Linked DNA regions of Zea mays. The main gene of each other region encodes a partner of the protein of the gene in region 3 in a complex. Links are inferred from orthologs where the notes say so. Each region holds a gene or a part of one and is shown on either strand. Other genes may lie near its edges.

Region 1 (4,309 bases), on a different chromosome or scaffold from region 3:
CATAGCCACGTTATCACGTTCATCGCAGTACTGCACAATAATCATGCACATATTTTACTATATAACACAAAAAAAAGGGCTGCATTTGGATTTTAACTCACTTGTCCACTATTTTTTCCCCTTGCTAGGCAAAAGTTTACTACAGATCATGCTGGAAAAACACAGAGGTAATTCCACACGCGCGTGCACACACACATACCAAAGAAAAAAGGAATGCCACATGGAAGCATGGAGCCCATGATATATCAATGATAACAAATTTCTTTGTTCTTTTTCATGGTCTCGCAGAATATCATCCAAGGAGGAGGATTAGCACCTTCCACGAAAGATGAGAACAAAGAACAGTATGATTCCAAGCAAACTACGGTGGCATCGTCTGCTCTCTTTGACACACAAAGTGCTAGAGAAACTAGTGCAAACGATATTTCCTCCCAAAAGGCAACAAGCAAAGCAAAATGCAGGGCAGGTAAGTTCCCAATTTCCTTCTTTCGTTGCATTACCACCTTTCAATTGCTAAGATCATGGCAAGAAATTGATTTACTAAGGCTAATAGCTTTAAAATGCAGACAACAGCGTACCTGGCAAACAGCCACCATGGTTGAGCATGTCAACCTCTGATGCAGACAACAAAACACTGAGCAAGAACGAGAAACAAACTCTCCAAGAGGATACTCAAAGTCTTTCTGATGCTTACTCTCAAGGGTTTGTTCCGAAACTACTGTTGTTTATGATGGTAATTTTGCTATATCTGCAACTAACAAGAGAAAACATTATTTACATCAGGCTTCTAAATAGATTGACACAAGCTCTAAAAAGGTCGGGAGTAGACCCATCTCAAGCTAGTATATCTGTAGAGATCAGTATGGACAGAAGAGCAACAGAACCTAATAATATACATGACAATTTGAAGGTAATAACAGCACATGAAAGTATATCAGCACGTTAATGCTTGCAAAGTTGCTAGACTTATGTCATGGCTTATTCACAGAATCAGCCATTTCTTTACCACTTCTTTTTAACCTTACCTGACAGGATCATGAATGTGAAGATATTATACATGTGACCAAGAAGCTTCGGGGCGAGAGAAGCAAGATCTCCAGCTCAAACTGAAATTCAAACTGTGGCGACAAGCCGACAACAGACCAGGACTTTGTCGACGAAATTGACAATTGATGGAATGCTCTTATTTATATTGAAATCACAATTACTGACCTAAGCCTCCATTCAGGTACAAAGGAAGCTGCTCAGGGGAGGGTAGTCATAAAGCTCCCCAATTCAGACATTCCTCCTCATTTGTAAATGCAATTCAGATTGTAAAACAGTGTACATGTACTGCTCTCTCAAAATTTGTCAATTCAACAAATATGGTAGTATTGCAACGTTTTTGTATCAACCTTCCACAGTACATGCATTCAATCGGCAACTAGACCTATATAAACAGCAAGGCAATTGTAAATTATACTAAGCTTGTGATTTGCTGCAAGCGCCAACGAACCATTGGGATGTTTTCTGCATATCATCAGATTCCCTTTCCATCAACATGGTCCGCAGGAAACGAATTGTAGTCACATCACCTGGCGCTCCGCTGCATCTGCGACAATGGGCAGACGTGGTGTCTTCCCGAGCAGGCAGGCGCCACCGCCGTACACCAAGGAGACGAGCAGGAAGAGGAAGACCGTGCTCTCCATGCTCTGGAAGATCTCGAACCCAACCCCACCGGAGGGCGCGAACGACTGCGCGAGCAGGTCGGGAAAGATGAGCAGCACGTCGAGCACGACGGCCTGCATCGCGTTGAAGCGGACGAAGCGGGAGAACGCCTGCTGGTTCCGCACAACGGCGAAGTAGAGCGTGAGGAAGAGGAGGAAGGGCGTGAGCGGCGATGAGTGGAAGAGCCGAGCCGCGGGGGCCAGCGGGCGGAGCAGCGCGCCGAAGAAGGGGAACTGCGTGAGAAGGAAGCGCCCGTGGTGCGCGCCGTCGAGGAACGGGTATAGGTAGGCGACCGCGGCCACGAGGCGGTCGGGCGCCTCCACGGCCCCGCTGTTGTCGTTTTTGTTGGAGGCGCGCGGCGCGGGGGCCAGGAGCCGACGAGGGGTCGCGTTGTTGGGGGCGGCGAGGAGGACCCGCCGGTGCGGGATGCTGAGGAGGCGGGATGTGCCGTCGCGGTGGAGCAGGCGCGGGGGCGAGAGGAGAAGCGAAACGGCGGATGCCATGTGATCCTCTGCTCGGTGCGGTCGAGGAGTGGAGATTTTTTGGGTGAGTGGCCTTGTGGGGGGCGGCCAAAGCGAGGCGTTTGGGTGAGGGGTTGAGGGCAAGGCAGTGGCGCCGCGCGGCTGCTGGCTGCTTGCCCCCTCCGCGCGGGTGGGAGCCTGGGAGCGGAGATTTTTGTGGAGCTCCGGGGGATGTGGGTAGCCGAGTGGGAGACGAGGAGATTGGTTGGTGGTGCCTGCTTCTGCCTGCCTGCCTGCTTGGTGCAGTGCCAGTGCGGGCCGTGCTGCTGCGGCGTCGCGGGGGAGGAAGGACGGGCGCGTGGGCGACGCGCGGTGAGCCTCACGTGGGCCGCCATGCCGGCCGGCATGCGCTCGCGCCTTGCAGCGTGGCCCGCTGTGGCCCGCCACGGAAAAAATTGGGATTCATCGTTTTGAGAGGATTCGTCTGAATATCATTATAAAACATGTCATCCACGTTATGATATCATTTGATCGTTTAATAAATCGGAAAAGAAATATATATATTATATATATAGCGACATTGAGGGTCAATTTTATAGGGAGACGAACATCAGCGACCAAAGTGAATGCACGAACAACAACAGAGGCAAATCATCCCTCAATGTCTATAATATATTTATTATTTTCATTTTTTAAACAATCAAATGATATTATAGCATATGCGGCATGTTTCATAATAGCAAAGTAGTGATGCCTCTCAAAACGATTTCCACTCCGGGAGAGCTGACCCGGGCGGAATAACCACTCCTACATTTTCCTCATAAAAAAGGACACTCAGTCTATTTGGTTCACGGCTAACTATGTCACAATTTATTTAATATTAATCGTTTGAATTGAAGAACTAAGCTTAGACATAAAAAATAGATAAAACGGTTAACTATGTCATAATTTGTTTAATGTTAATTATTTGAATCGAAGAACTAAGCTTAGACATAAAAAATAGATAAAATATGGTAAGTTGGACAGCAAATCAAACCGCCGTCAAACTTCCACCCTATTTCTTTGCATAACTGCGGCGTCAAAATACTCAGCAAGATACTCACCACCAGGTTACAACGACAGATTGACAGGATCATCGACACTGACCAAATCGGGTTCATTCGAGGCAGATCGATCACAGAGAGCTTCATCTACACTTTTGAACTTGTTCAGACCTGCCACAAAAGGAAAACACCACACCAGTCCTAGTGATCAAATTATACTTTGCCAAGGCTTCGACACCGTGAATTGGGAAGCTCTCTGAAGGACCATGGCAGAGAGAGGCTTCCCTGACCGATGGAGATCCTGGATCGCCGAGATCCTCTCCACCTCAAGCTCTGGAAATCTCCTCCACGGTTGCCTACTTGCCTCGACCCATGGTTCCCATGCAAGAAAGGCCTGAGGCAGAGCGACCCGATCTCACCACTCACCTTACCAGTTCCTGCCAGTGGAAGATGTCCTTCAGGTTCTCATCAAGAAAAACGGGGAAGTCCGCCACCCACTGTCAAATGACAAAACCGGGGGCCGGTAATCCAATATGCAAATATGATACACTCATTGCCACATATGCTTCCCTCTCTAGTGTCACCTAGCTCCGGATGATCCTTGACACTTTTGCCCAAGCAACAGGTCTTTGCATCAACTACGATGAGAGCACCCTTGTTCCCATTCATGTTGACCCACAACATCAAGCCGGTCAATTCACCTCGATCCTGCAGTGCGGTGCCAAGTTGGAAGGCTTCCCCCAAACTTACTTTGGCCTCCCTCTGTCAAGAGCAAACTAGGATAGCATGCAGAAACTCCTCCCGCGTGATCACCACTATGAGAGAGCATCGGGAATGGTAGGACAACTTGCTTCCGCCTTGATGATTAGATGGATAGTGGTCCGATCACAGACAGCTTCCCCTCCCTTGCAAGCCATGCAACGAATATGGAAACCACTGTCAGGCAAGTGCTGCTTGATGGGCTTGGATCAGCACCTCAAACCACGCCTGAGCACAACCTCAAAGACAGGAGCTTGCCACCCTCCAGAACACCCTCCACGACATCTCTCTCACACAACAAAATGATAAAAGACTAAGCCCACTGATTGACATAGAAGG
Region 2 (5,114 bases), on a different chromosome or scaffold from region 3:
ACCTTTCCAAACCATTAGTAACACAAGTCGTTTGGAGTAGACTTTAACATAGTACGAGTGTTATACCTTTGAGGACTTCCCTACTCTAAGGATAGGCTGCCATATTCTTTGTTCTGTAGGTGCTCCCATACAACTGAGTCGGAGCATTATTTTTCATATGAAGGACCCTAGGACCTGGCTATTAGTCATAACTCTAAGGTCGAGGTCATGAAATATTTAGGGAGGCCTCTATGGGGCCTAGGTGAGCGAGAGAACTCTAGAAGCTTGGGAATGCCTCAAAGTATAGAAAGATCCTGAGGCCTTAGGGGCCCTGGTCATGCCAATTATGATGGACGGGAGTGGCTAGGACAACCTCACGGGTTCAGGGGCTCAAGATGAGGTCCATTAGGGTGGGTCTCTAGGGGCACATGTCTGGAGTTAGTCAGGCTCTCGATTACTTTTATCGAGATCCTTAGAAGGCATCTTCATCTAGAGTGTGACCTTCCCCATGCGCTAATAGAGGTCCCCAAGTCAACCATAGACCTATGAGGCTTGCTGGTGGGCCCAAATTTCTCGTAATACACTTGAGAAAAGAAGACTTATTATCTGTTAGAGAACTACTACATAGTTCAATGATGGCAAGCACCCAATACCTGGTGCACTAAGTGTCGTCATGGTACAACATTACAGTACCATAAGCAACCAAAAGACACGAAGAAAGTTTATGGACAGAGCAAGGAGCATAATCTATAGGCGCATTGATCCTAGGTGTAGCACATAGTCATTTTATAAAGGGCTAGGCCACAAGATGATACCATATGTCCTCTTTAAGTACGATGGTTTGACGAACACATAGGTGAAGAAGAATACAAGCTCAGATATCAACTAAGCGTCATGATCTTCTAGCTCTCCCTTACTATTCGGTTCTCATGAGTTCTAGGCTAGTGGTCCCTAGTTCACCTCTATGTATGACCTCCAACAACGTGCTCTAATTTTTGCCATCTAAAAGAATATTCTCTATCCTTTAGAACACACTCTAGAAAATTTCATCCTCTATATCTTTATCATCTCCAACAACATCCTCTAAATTTCATTCTCTGCAACATTGTCTTTCTTCTCCGACACCCCACCTCCACCGTTGTACTCCATCCATCCACCCAGTATCTCCCATGCCCCTAGATGCGGGTTGAGAAGCACTCCACACGGAGCGCCGTGTCCAGGATCACCTATCTCATCTCCGGCAACACAGAGGATGGACTTGTGCTGCGCCGAGGTGGGGGAGAAGCATAGCAACAAACAAGGGAGGAGTGCGAAGAGAGAAAGATCGAGTTACAGGTCCTATGCGCCTACGTCATCCAAGGTCGTGTTTGTTGCACATCCGGTCGCCGTGCGCCTCGTCGTCCTCTTCTACCGTGGATGCAAGTTGGGAGGTGCTGGCTGATGTGCTACTTTGTCGCGGCGTGCACAGCCGACCTGTAGTCTCTCTACACAAGACGGTGCACATAGCCGACACAACGGAACACTCTACATCTGTTGTGCGCGTTAGTGGTCCGCTACTTTAGCGGGTCCTTTAGCGGACCTTGAGAACGAAAAGCAGATTGCGCACGTTAAATTTAGCGTACAGGAGCATTTACAGAGTCTTGCTCTCGAGAGTCTTGTACGTTTAAATTGACAAGCTAATTTTACGCAAATAAATAACAATTTGGATAGATCCAAACGAGATATTATTATAGCTGACCAGTGTAAGCTAGTTCATGCACACGCAAAAAAATCTCGCGATATACTAGTCCGTCAATCGGTCACACTTGGACGAGAGTGACACACGAGAGATCACGGCAAGTGTGGGAGTCTGGAACCGGGACGCTATAGTAGTAGACTAGGTGGCAGAAAGCTGGAGCCGCCATCTGCCGTGTGCGTTGCACACTTGCGCTCGTAGTCGTAGGTGACTCGTAAGGTTTTTATCCGGTGAGGCCGCAGAGATCGAGCGCTCTCGGCCAACCAAACGTCGTGGGACCGAACATGACAACGCCCTCTACCGCACCAGCGCCACTGGCATCTCTCCTCCGCGTCTCCGCTGCCGCTGTTCCAGTGGCTCGACGACGTCCTAAGAGCCCCGCGGCTGCGGCGGCGGCACGGTGGGAGGGAGGTGGGGGCAGAAGGAGGTGCCGGGCGGCGGTGGTGGAGGAAGCCGGGGTGCTGCTGCCCAAGGAGGGGGAGGGGGAGGGGGAGGGGGAGGAGGCCCCGGACGCGGCGGCGGGGCGCTACGACTGGAGGGAGGAGTGGTACCCGCTGTACCTGGCCAAGGAGGTGCCCGACGACGCGGCGCTCCCGCTCACCGTCTTCGACCGCCAGCTCGTGCTCTGGCGCGACGCCCACGGCGTGCTCCGCTGCCACGAGGACCGGTGCCCTCACAGGTGAGATCCTCCGGCCGGTCCACTCTTGTGTGCGTGCAACGATTGGTTTGGTCGAGAACCAGCAGCTGAAACACGATTAATTGCTCCCAAAATGCTTACCGATCGATCAGGTTAGCGAAGCTATCGGAAGGGCAGATCGTGGACGGCAAGCTGGAGTGCCTCTACCATGGCTGGCAGTTCGACGGCGACGGCAAGTGCGTCAAGATACCACAGGTCTCTCTCTCTCCCACCTTTCTTACTGACGCCCCTACCCTACGCGGCGAGAGCATGGATGGGTGATGTGATGGGTCCGTGCCTGCACTGCAGCTGCCCGAGGGCGCCAAGATCCCGCGCAGCGCGTGCGCGCGCAACTACGAGGTGCGCGACTCGCAGGGCGTGGTGTGGGTGTGGATGTCGGACGCCAACCCTCCCGACGAAGGGAAGCTGCCGTGGTTCGAGCCGTACGCGCGGGCGGGGTTCACGGACCTGTCGACGGTGCACGAGCTCCCCTACGACCACTCCATCCTGCTGGAGAACCTCATGGACCCCGCGCACGTGCCCATCTCCCACGACCGCACCGACTGGACGGCCAAGCGCGAGGACGCGCAGCCGCTCTTCTTCGACGTCACCGAGCGCACGCCCCGCGGCTTCGCGGGCTACTGGGGCCGCACCGGCACGCCGCACCTCCGCAACCTTCTGCGCTTCGAGGCCCCCTGCGTGCTCACCAACACGCTAGAGTTCGCCGACAAGGACGGCAGGGAGCAGTGCTTCTCCGCGCACTTCCTCTGCCGCCCCGCCGGGCAGGGCAAGTCCATGCTCCTCGTGCGCTTCGGCTCCACCCTCAGGTCGCCGCTCGCCAAGGTGCTCCCGTCCTGGTACTTCCACCAGAACGCGTGCAAGGTGTTCGAGCAGGACATGGGGTTCCTGTCGTCGCAGAACGAGGTGCTGCTCCGGGAGAAGCTGCCCACCAGGGAGCTCTACCTCAACCTCCGCTCCTCCGACACCTGGGTCGCCGAGTACAGGAAGTGGATGGACAGGGCGGGCCACGGCATGCCCTACTACTTCGGCCACAGCACCCTGTCGCCGCCGCCCGTGCCGGCCGTCGTGGAGCAGGCGCCCGCAGGGGCCGTCGCGGGGATCTCGGCCTCGTTCCCGGCCAAGGGCGGCGTCGGCATGGTGCACGCGCCCAACCCGACCAACAGGTACTTCCGCCACGTCGTGCACTGCAAGGGTTGCAGGGCAACCGTCAAAAAGTACACCTCGTTGAAGACCGTGTTCGCGGCCCTCGCGGCGGCGGCCCTATCGGCCGCCATCCTGGCGGCGACGAGACAGTGGAAGGCCGTCTTGGTGGCGGCGTCGGCCGTGCTAGCCGCCGCATCCTATGCGTGTGACGCGGTGCTTTCTTTGATCACCACCAACTTCATCAGGACACACAGGAGACTGTAATTAATGTGGTACTGGCCACTGTATATTTAGGTAATGGCCGGCGGGGAACGTTCTGTACATTTGTATCACCGTAGCTGCTGGCCTGCGGCTGTTGTATTTTGTATATTTGCAGTAACGTTTTGCATGTCAGCAGCAACTGATTAGGTTGGTTACCTTACCGGTTAGTTTTTTTACTACTGCAGCACAAACTCAGAATTAGAAGATAATCAACATAGCAAAAGATTTAAGTCCGCAGACACAGCCACCAAGCAATCGATACACAACACGCTCGCACGAAGCATTCTTAAAATTCTCCAGTATATACACAATACAAGCAGCACACGTTCACTGTTAAGATAGTGGCACAATGCCTAAAGTCACATGTTATTAAGTAGACAAACTTGATAACAGTGGGCAAACACCGACTCGGAGCATGTTTTAAAGGCAACATACTTGATAGGATATATTAGCTACCACAGTAGACACGTTTGATGCTCCAGGCTTACCGTGGTTGAACTTAGAATTCCCTGTCGGGAAAGAGGACGGGTGCAACAAGCGACCATATGAACAGACCTGCCGTCGCCCACTGGGTTGCAATCCTGACCCAGACAGATGGCCACCCAACATCCACAAGCTTTCCGCTCTCACCAACCGAAGTTGACCAGCCAGTCAAGAGCATTGCCGAGTACATGCTGGCCAGGGAGAAGATGAGGTGAAAGAAAGAGTAGGAGTATGTCACCGGCCTCGGCACATCCTTCTTATCTTCTTGTTCGTCTGCCTTGCTGAAGGGAAGCAATGGCTTGTCGGTCCCTGGAAGGTAAAAGGGAAAAAGGTATCATAATTAACGATGCAAACCCAATATTTGCAAAACTAGCTCATTAGCCACAGAACGCAATCTAACCACGTGGTGAGTCTGGTGGCGAGAGCACAGTTGCAGAGGAGCCAGCGCGGACAGCAGAATAGACCACAGAGAGGACCGTGGTAAGGAGTCCCAATGTAAGGCTACCAGTTGACACAGCTTTTGAGTGATTGTGAAGCCCATTGCATTCGTAATCCCTTGGCTCACTGGAGAGTCCACTGTAGCACAGATATGTACAGTACATACCAATAACTGATGCAGGCAACAAGCTTCCATTGATCTGAAAATCAGAAACTTCAAAGTTCAGCATTATTTAGCACAAAAAAGATAGTTACATTCAAGGGAAATGTATAGACATAGTTTTTGGAAAGCATGGTCATACGATGGCCAAGATGGAATCTAAAACAATCAAACCAACCCAATAATCTAGAGTTGCAAGTATAATACTGCCCCAAACC
Region 3 (5,507 bases):
TAACAAGAACTACTCATCGCATCAAATTGACACGCACATGACTCACAAGAAACTAAAATTGAATGTCAATATGGAAAGTAAAATATATTATTAGAGTGGCCAAATCAGGGACATTACCTGAAAAACAGGAACACCATCAAAAGCAGTTAAGCCCGATTTCATCTGGAAAATAAAAAGGGTAATACATGTCACAAGGATGAAGAAACCTTTTTTCTTCGTACTTGAAGAATAATCAAGGGGGTTGTAATGATCTACATATTCTATATGCAAGACTTAGCTTGTTCTACAGACAACAGTATGTGTTACCTAAACTTAACTAAAGACAAAAGTATGTGTTACTTAAACTTTAGATTTACAAATGTGCACTGTGGAGAATCATTGCAGGTCATTAGGCCAACAAGTCCATCCAGGAAAAAGAACAGAAAGATTCACCACCTACCACTATGGTAAGAACTAACACTTCACATGTTCTATGTCCACATGTCTAGGATTCACGCATTATGGTGAAGGACTGAAGGCATACAAAAAACCAGCAGACACGCTGATAGCGTAGTAGTTGAGAAACCAAAGGGGCGGAGCTCTCAACCAGGGTTCAATCCCTCGTGCTGCATGGTTGTGTGCCCACTTCCCTGGTTGAAACAATGTAGTTCCACGGCTGCCAAATAAGCGTGCGCACATGAGGTATTGAGGTTCCTGCCTGTTCCCAGGTTCGGTGGGCCTCTTTTTAAGACTGAAGTCAAGGGGACGTCTCTCCCCTTGATCAACTCTTTTTTTACATACAATAAGCCACAAATGTACAGACCTTGTGACCAAATTATTGGGATTGCTCAAAGTAACAAAAATCTCTTCAAACATATGTTTTCTTTGAAATGTTGGAACATGTTAAACCAATAGCTATGGGTATGCATTTTGCCAAGTCAAACAATTTATGTAGAGTTTCTGCATGCACTAGAGGAATATTGCTAATACACTAGTAATTAAATGATTGGCCACCGTCAAACCATTGCAAGCCAATGATATCCAAGAAGGTCAATATTATGGCATTTAACTACATGATATGGAGAAATGGACACACATGTTTCATCCCTGTATTTGTAATAAAATAACAAGTAATTATTAAAAAAATCATTGCATTGCTGCTTTCAAGAGCATTTGCAGTCTGACTGATGCATCTCAATTATGCTCACATCATAGAGAGAGGAGGGAGTAGAATATAAATAGGTCCATGTACAAGATAATAGAGCAAAGAGCGGGAAAAAAACTATTAAAGAGCAGACCTCCAGTGCATTCTTTATTTGAAGAGGGTCGGGTAAGAACCTAAATGCGATACCTTCAGCCTTTAACATATAGACCTACATAGAAGAGCAAAGTTATGAGGTATATATGTTTGCATTATAAAACATATAATAGAGTCAAGGTTATTAAAATGGTAAAACGTTGGAACGCTCATGGGTGAATTTTTGACTTTTAAACGTTTAAACTTTGTTTAAACGTAGTTTTAAACAACACAGGAAAAATACCAATACATCATAATTTCAGCAATAATATGAAGTTAAATACTAAAATAGAGAGGTTAGTGGCTTACCAAAACTTCACCCATGAGCTGGATTGAACCTCAAAAGTAACTAATAGAATGAGCCCAAAAATAGCTAATGGTCTAAAATGCATAAAGCACTGCGTTTTACAGTTTAGAACGCCAAAACGCTAAAACGTGGTTTCAATCTCTAATTAGAGTTTTGACGTTTAAACGTAGTTTTTATAACACTGAATAGAGTATCAGTCAGGTTCAAGATAAACACAATGTCTATGCATGCACTAAACAACCAAAGCTGCAGTGGCGTCAACCAAGCTTAATGCATCATGAAAGCATGAACAAGATAAGCTAATAAGCAGTGTTATTAAAACTACGTTTAAACGATGTTTGAACTACGTTTAAACGTCAAAACTCTAATTAGAGGTTGAAACCACGTTTTAGCGTTTTGACGTTCTAAACTGTAAAACGCAGTGTTTTATGCATTTTAGACCATTAGCTACTTTTGGGCCCAGTCTATTAGTTACTTTTGAGGTTCAATCCAGCTCATGGGTGAAGTTTTGGTAAGCCACTAATCTCTATATTTTGGTATTTAACTGCATATTATTGTCTGAAATTATGATGTATTGGTATTTTTCCTGTGTTGTTTAAAACTACGTTTAAACAAAGTTTAAACGTTTAAAAGACAAAATTTGACCCATGAGCGTTCCAACGTTTTACCGTTTTAATAACCTTGCTAATAAGTAATTGGCTACCTAAATCATGACAGCGTACACAATTCCTGGCCAATAAGCCTGATAGAACTAGTTTGAAAAGACTCTTTTCGCTGTGCAATTTAGTTAAAAGTCTTACCTCTCACCTTGCTAATAAGTTAAGATACCTAATTACTGGACTGGCTTTCGTACTTCAAAACGAAACATAAAAACCTTACAGAACCCACAATTCAAAGAAAAAAAATGTTCATCAAGTATTGACATGATCAATGACAAGACATACAGAATCAAACCAACCTGATCAAGTGTAAATACAGAATGAAACCAACCTGATCAAGTGTAAATACAGAATGAAACCAACCTGATCAAGTGTAATAGGCACCACTTTTGCCCCCTTGCCTAGCACCGGTTGCCGCGTCCTCACCTAAACCACACAAACCTCCCGAACAATTAGTGAAAAATCCAAAACCGGAGCCCAAAGCAAACAGGTGGCGAGAGAGCGGGGAATACATGCGACAGGAGGGCGTCGGCGTCCTCCGAACGGAAGCAGAGGAGGCCGAGGGAGCGGAGGCCGGTGGCAGGGTCGGAGACAAGCACGAACTCGTTGCTGGAGTTGCAGACAGTGAAGACGGGAGTGCCGGTAAGAGCGCGCGCGACCTCATCGGGCGCGAGAGAGAGAGATAGGGAGGCGCCCTGGGGGCCCGGCGTGCGCGCAGCCGCGGCAGCGAGGGCGGGGCGCGGGACGTTCAGGTGGGAAGCCAAACGGGAGAGGTGGTGCTGTAGGAAGGAGGCGGTGGCTACGAGCGGGTTTGGAAGCGGCGACGCAGCGAAGGGGAAGGGGGTCGGTTCGGACATGGGCGCAGCGGCGAGGGGAAGGGAGGAGCACGTGGAGATGGAGTCCGGTGGCGCCATCGCGTGGGTTGCGGCGGCGGTGGTGGCGTGGCGTGCGAGGCTCCTTATTGGTCGGCGGCGTCGACGAGAACGGCCTGGCGCGGGGGCGATTCGGTTGAGCCCAACCCCAAGTGCAGAGTTGCGGATTGCGGCCCGCTGAAGCTGATATTCAACTGACGTGTATTGGAGTGATTACGAGAGTATCTAAACAATTTGTTGACGCCTTTTCGGAGCGTCAAACACCTAATAAGAACCGTGGCGGTGCTCTCTAGTCAGGCGCGGACGGTCTGCGGCCTGGGACCGGACGGTTCGTGACCTGGCGCAGGGCTAGGGTCTTCTGCCTGACGGCCGGACGGTCCGCGCCCTGGGGGCGGACGATCCGCGCGTACGCAGGGGCGGCGGAAGTCGCCGGCAGCGACCTGGATCTCGCTCCCGGGAGGGACCCCGTCGGGGAGGAGAGATCCTAGGTGATGTCTAGGCTCGGCAGGCCGACCTAGACTCTTCTAATCAGCGTAGAGTCGAAGAGAAGCGGGAATTTAGAGATCGAGAGGCTAAACCTAAACTAGACTAGAACTACTCTTAGGATAAAATGCGAAATAGAAGTGTTTGATTCGATTGATGATGATTACAAATCGGCCGTATATCTCTCTTTTTATAGAGGGGGGCTGGACCCTTTACACGACTAGATTCCGAGCTAATTCCGCGGATCTAGCTAACAAACATAGCACAAAACTCGGAACCCTAATCTACTCTGCGCATGCGCGGACCGTCCGGCCCACAAGCGCGGACTGTGCGGACCGCGGACTGTCCGGCCTCAGGGCCGGACCGTCCGCGTGCTCATTTTGGTGCCAAACATATGCCCTCCTGCCTTTTGGTGGAGCTAGGCAAACCAAAAGCACCTTAGTCCGATGTGATCACATCGGTTTTCTTAAGCATCTTGCCACATACTAGGATGGTACTGCTTGAGGAAACGCCCATTCAAAGCTTTGGGTAAATCCTTGCCTTGCAATGTTTGTAGTAAATAGGTGTTACCAGATATTACCTGTTTTACTTTATAAGGACCTTCCCAGCTTGGCGACCATTTTCCAAACTTCCGGTCTTTATTCCTTAGAGGCAGGATGGTCTTCCACACCAGGTCCCCTACTTAAAATGACTTTGCTTTGACCTTCTTGTTGTAGGCCCTGGCTACCATGATCTTATCCTTTTCTATTGCTCCCAAAGCTATCACCCTCTTGTCGGTCACCTCATCAATATTATCCATCATTGAATTGTAATAATCAGTGATGGTTAGATCATTTTGTCTGGCGAACCTGACAGCATTCAAACTTATTTCCACAGGCAACACTGCTTCCTGCCCATAGACAAGCTCAAAAGGAGACACTTTAGTAGCACTATGTTTAGATATCATGTGAGCCCATAAAGCTTCGGACAAAATCTTATGTCAATGCTTAGGATTATCCAATATCTTCTTTTTTATCAAGTTAATCAATGTCCTATTACTAGACTCGGCCTGTCCATTGGCCTGAGCATAATATGGAGATGAATTAAGCAATTTAATTCTATATAATTCAGCAAACTCACGTACCTTCTTTGACATAAAAGAAGTCCCTTGATCTGTAGTCAAGGTCTGGGGAATGCCGAATCTATGAATAATATGTTCAGTTATGAACTCAATTACCTCCTTGTGCGTCATGTTCTTCAGAGCAACGGCTTCAGTCCATTTGGTGAAATAATCAGTGGCAACTAACACGAACCGATGCCCCTTTGATGATGAAGGATGAATTTCCCCAATAAAGTCTAATCCCCATCCTCTGAAAGGCCAAGGCTTGATGATAGGATGCAATTCGGCTGCAGGGACCAACTGTAGGTCGCCGAATTTTTGACACACTTGGCAACCCTTGTAGTACTTGAAACAATCAGCTATCATATTAGGCCAATAAAAACCAGACCTTCGCAACAGCCACTTCATCTTTGGAGCCGATTGATGGGTACCACAAATTTCTTCATGTACTTCGGCCATGGCTAATATAGCATCATTTGGGCCCAAGCACTTAAGCAGGACGTCGTTGACTGTTCGGCGGTAGAGTTCATCACTCATCAAAACATACTTGAAAGTTGTACGCCGAATGTTCTTATCTGTCCTAACGTTGGGATTTCGTAAATAATTAGTTATGGGCGTCCTCCAATCTCCTGCATCGGCTTCATTATCAGCCGAATCGATTAGGAGAACTTCCCTGGTAACCCCGGACGGTCCGGCGTCATCATGCGGACGGTCCGCGACCTGGGGATTTGGCTCTGCACTGGTTATCAGATTTTCAGTATTGTGAAATTTCCCTCTCTTTATCCGATAACCTGATGCATCTTGTGCCAAA

Evidence for each region.
Region 1: tic22 (region 3) and Protein TIC 20-v, chloroplastic share a complex: the UniProt entries of both Arabidopsis thaliana proteins name them as parts of the tic complex. The link is inferred for Zea mays from reciprocal best matches to the Arabidopsis thaliana genes Tic22-IV and Tic20-V.
Region 2: tic22 (region 3) and Protein TIC 55, chloroplastic-like share a complex: the UniProt entries of both Arabidopsis thaliana proteins name them as parts of the tic complex. The link is inferred for Zea mays from reciprocal best matches to the Arabidopsis thaliana genes Tic22-IV and TIC55-II.

What each region holds. Positions count from the first base shown.
Region 1 is NC_050100.1:212,573,225-212,577,533, reverse strand, and holds Protein TIC 20-v, chloroplastic, read right to left. Parts: upstream 2,341-4,309; 5' UTR 2,211-2,340; coding exon 1,566-2,210; 3' UTR 1,174-1,565; downstream 1-1,173. Other genes in the region: uncharacterized protein LOC100279738, read left to right, coding at 129-167, 289-466, 567-702, 784-910, 1,033-1,110; solute carrier family 35 member F2, read right to left, coding at 3,377-3,382, 3,643-3,708. UniProt on the Arabidopsis thaliana protein: May be involved in protein precursor import into chloroplasts. Not redundant with TIC20-I, TIC20-II or TIC20-IV.
Region 2 is NC_050100.1:221,690,658-221,695,771, forward strand, and holds Protein TIC 55, chloroplastic-like, read left to right. Parts: upstream 1-1,997; 5' UTR 1,998-1,998; coding exon 1,999-2,393; intron 2,394-2,503; coding exon 2,504-2,606; intron 2,607-2,699; coding exon 2,700-3,818; 3' UTR 3,819-3,941; downstream 3,942-5,114. Other genes in the region: uncharacterized protein LOC100191588 precursor, read right to left, coding at 4,315-4,607, 4,699-4,936. UniProt on the Arabidopsis thaliana protein: Involved in protein precursor import into chloroplasts. Part of the redox regulon consisting of TIC32, TIC 55 and TIC62.
Region 3 is NC_050104.1:9,248,194-9,253,700, reverse strand, and holds the start of tic22, read right to left. Parts: upstream 3,311-5,507; 5' UTR 3,157-3,310; coding exon 2,755-3,156; intron 2,669-2,754; coding exon 2,606-2,668; intron 1,353-2,605; coding exon 1,278-1,352; intron 163-1,277; coding exon 118-162; intron 1-117. UniProt on the Arabidopsis thaliana protein: Involved in protein precursor import into chloroplasts. Imported into the intermembrane space via the Toc translocon. May be involved in the import pathway used by proteins without a cleavable N-terminal pre-sequence.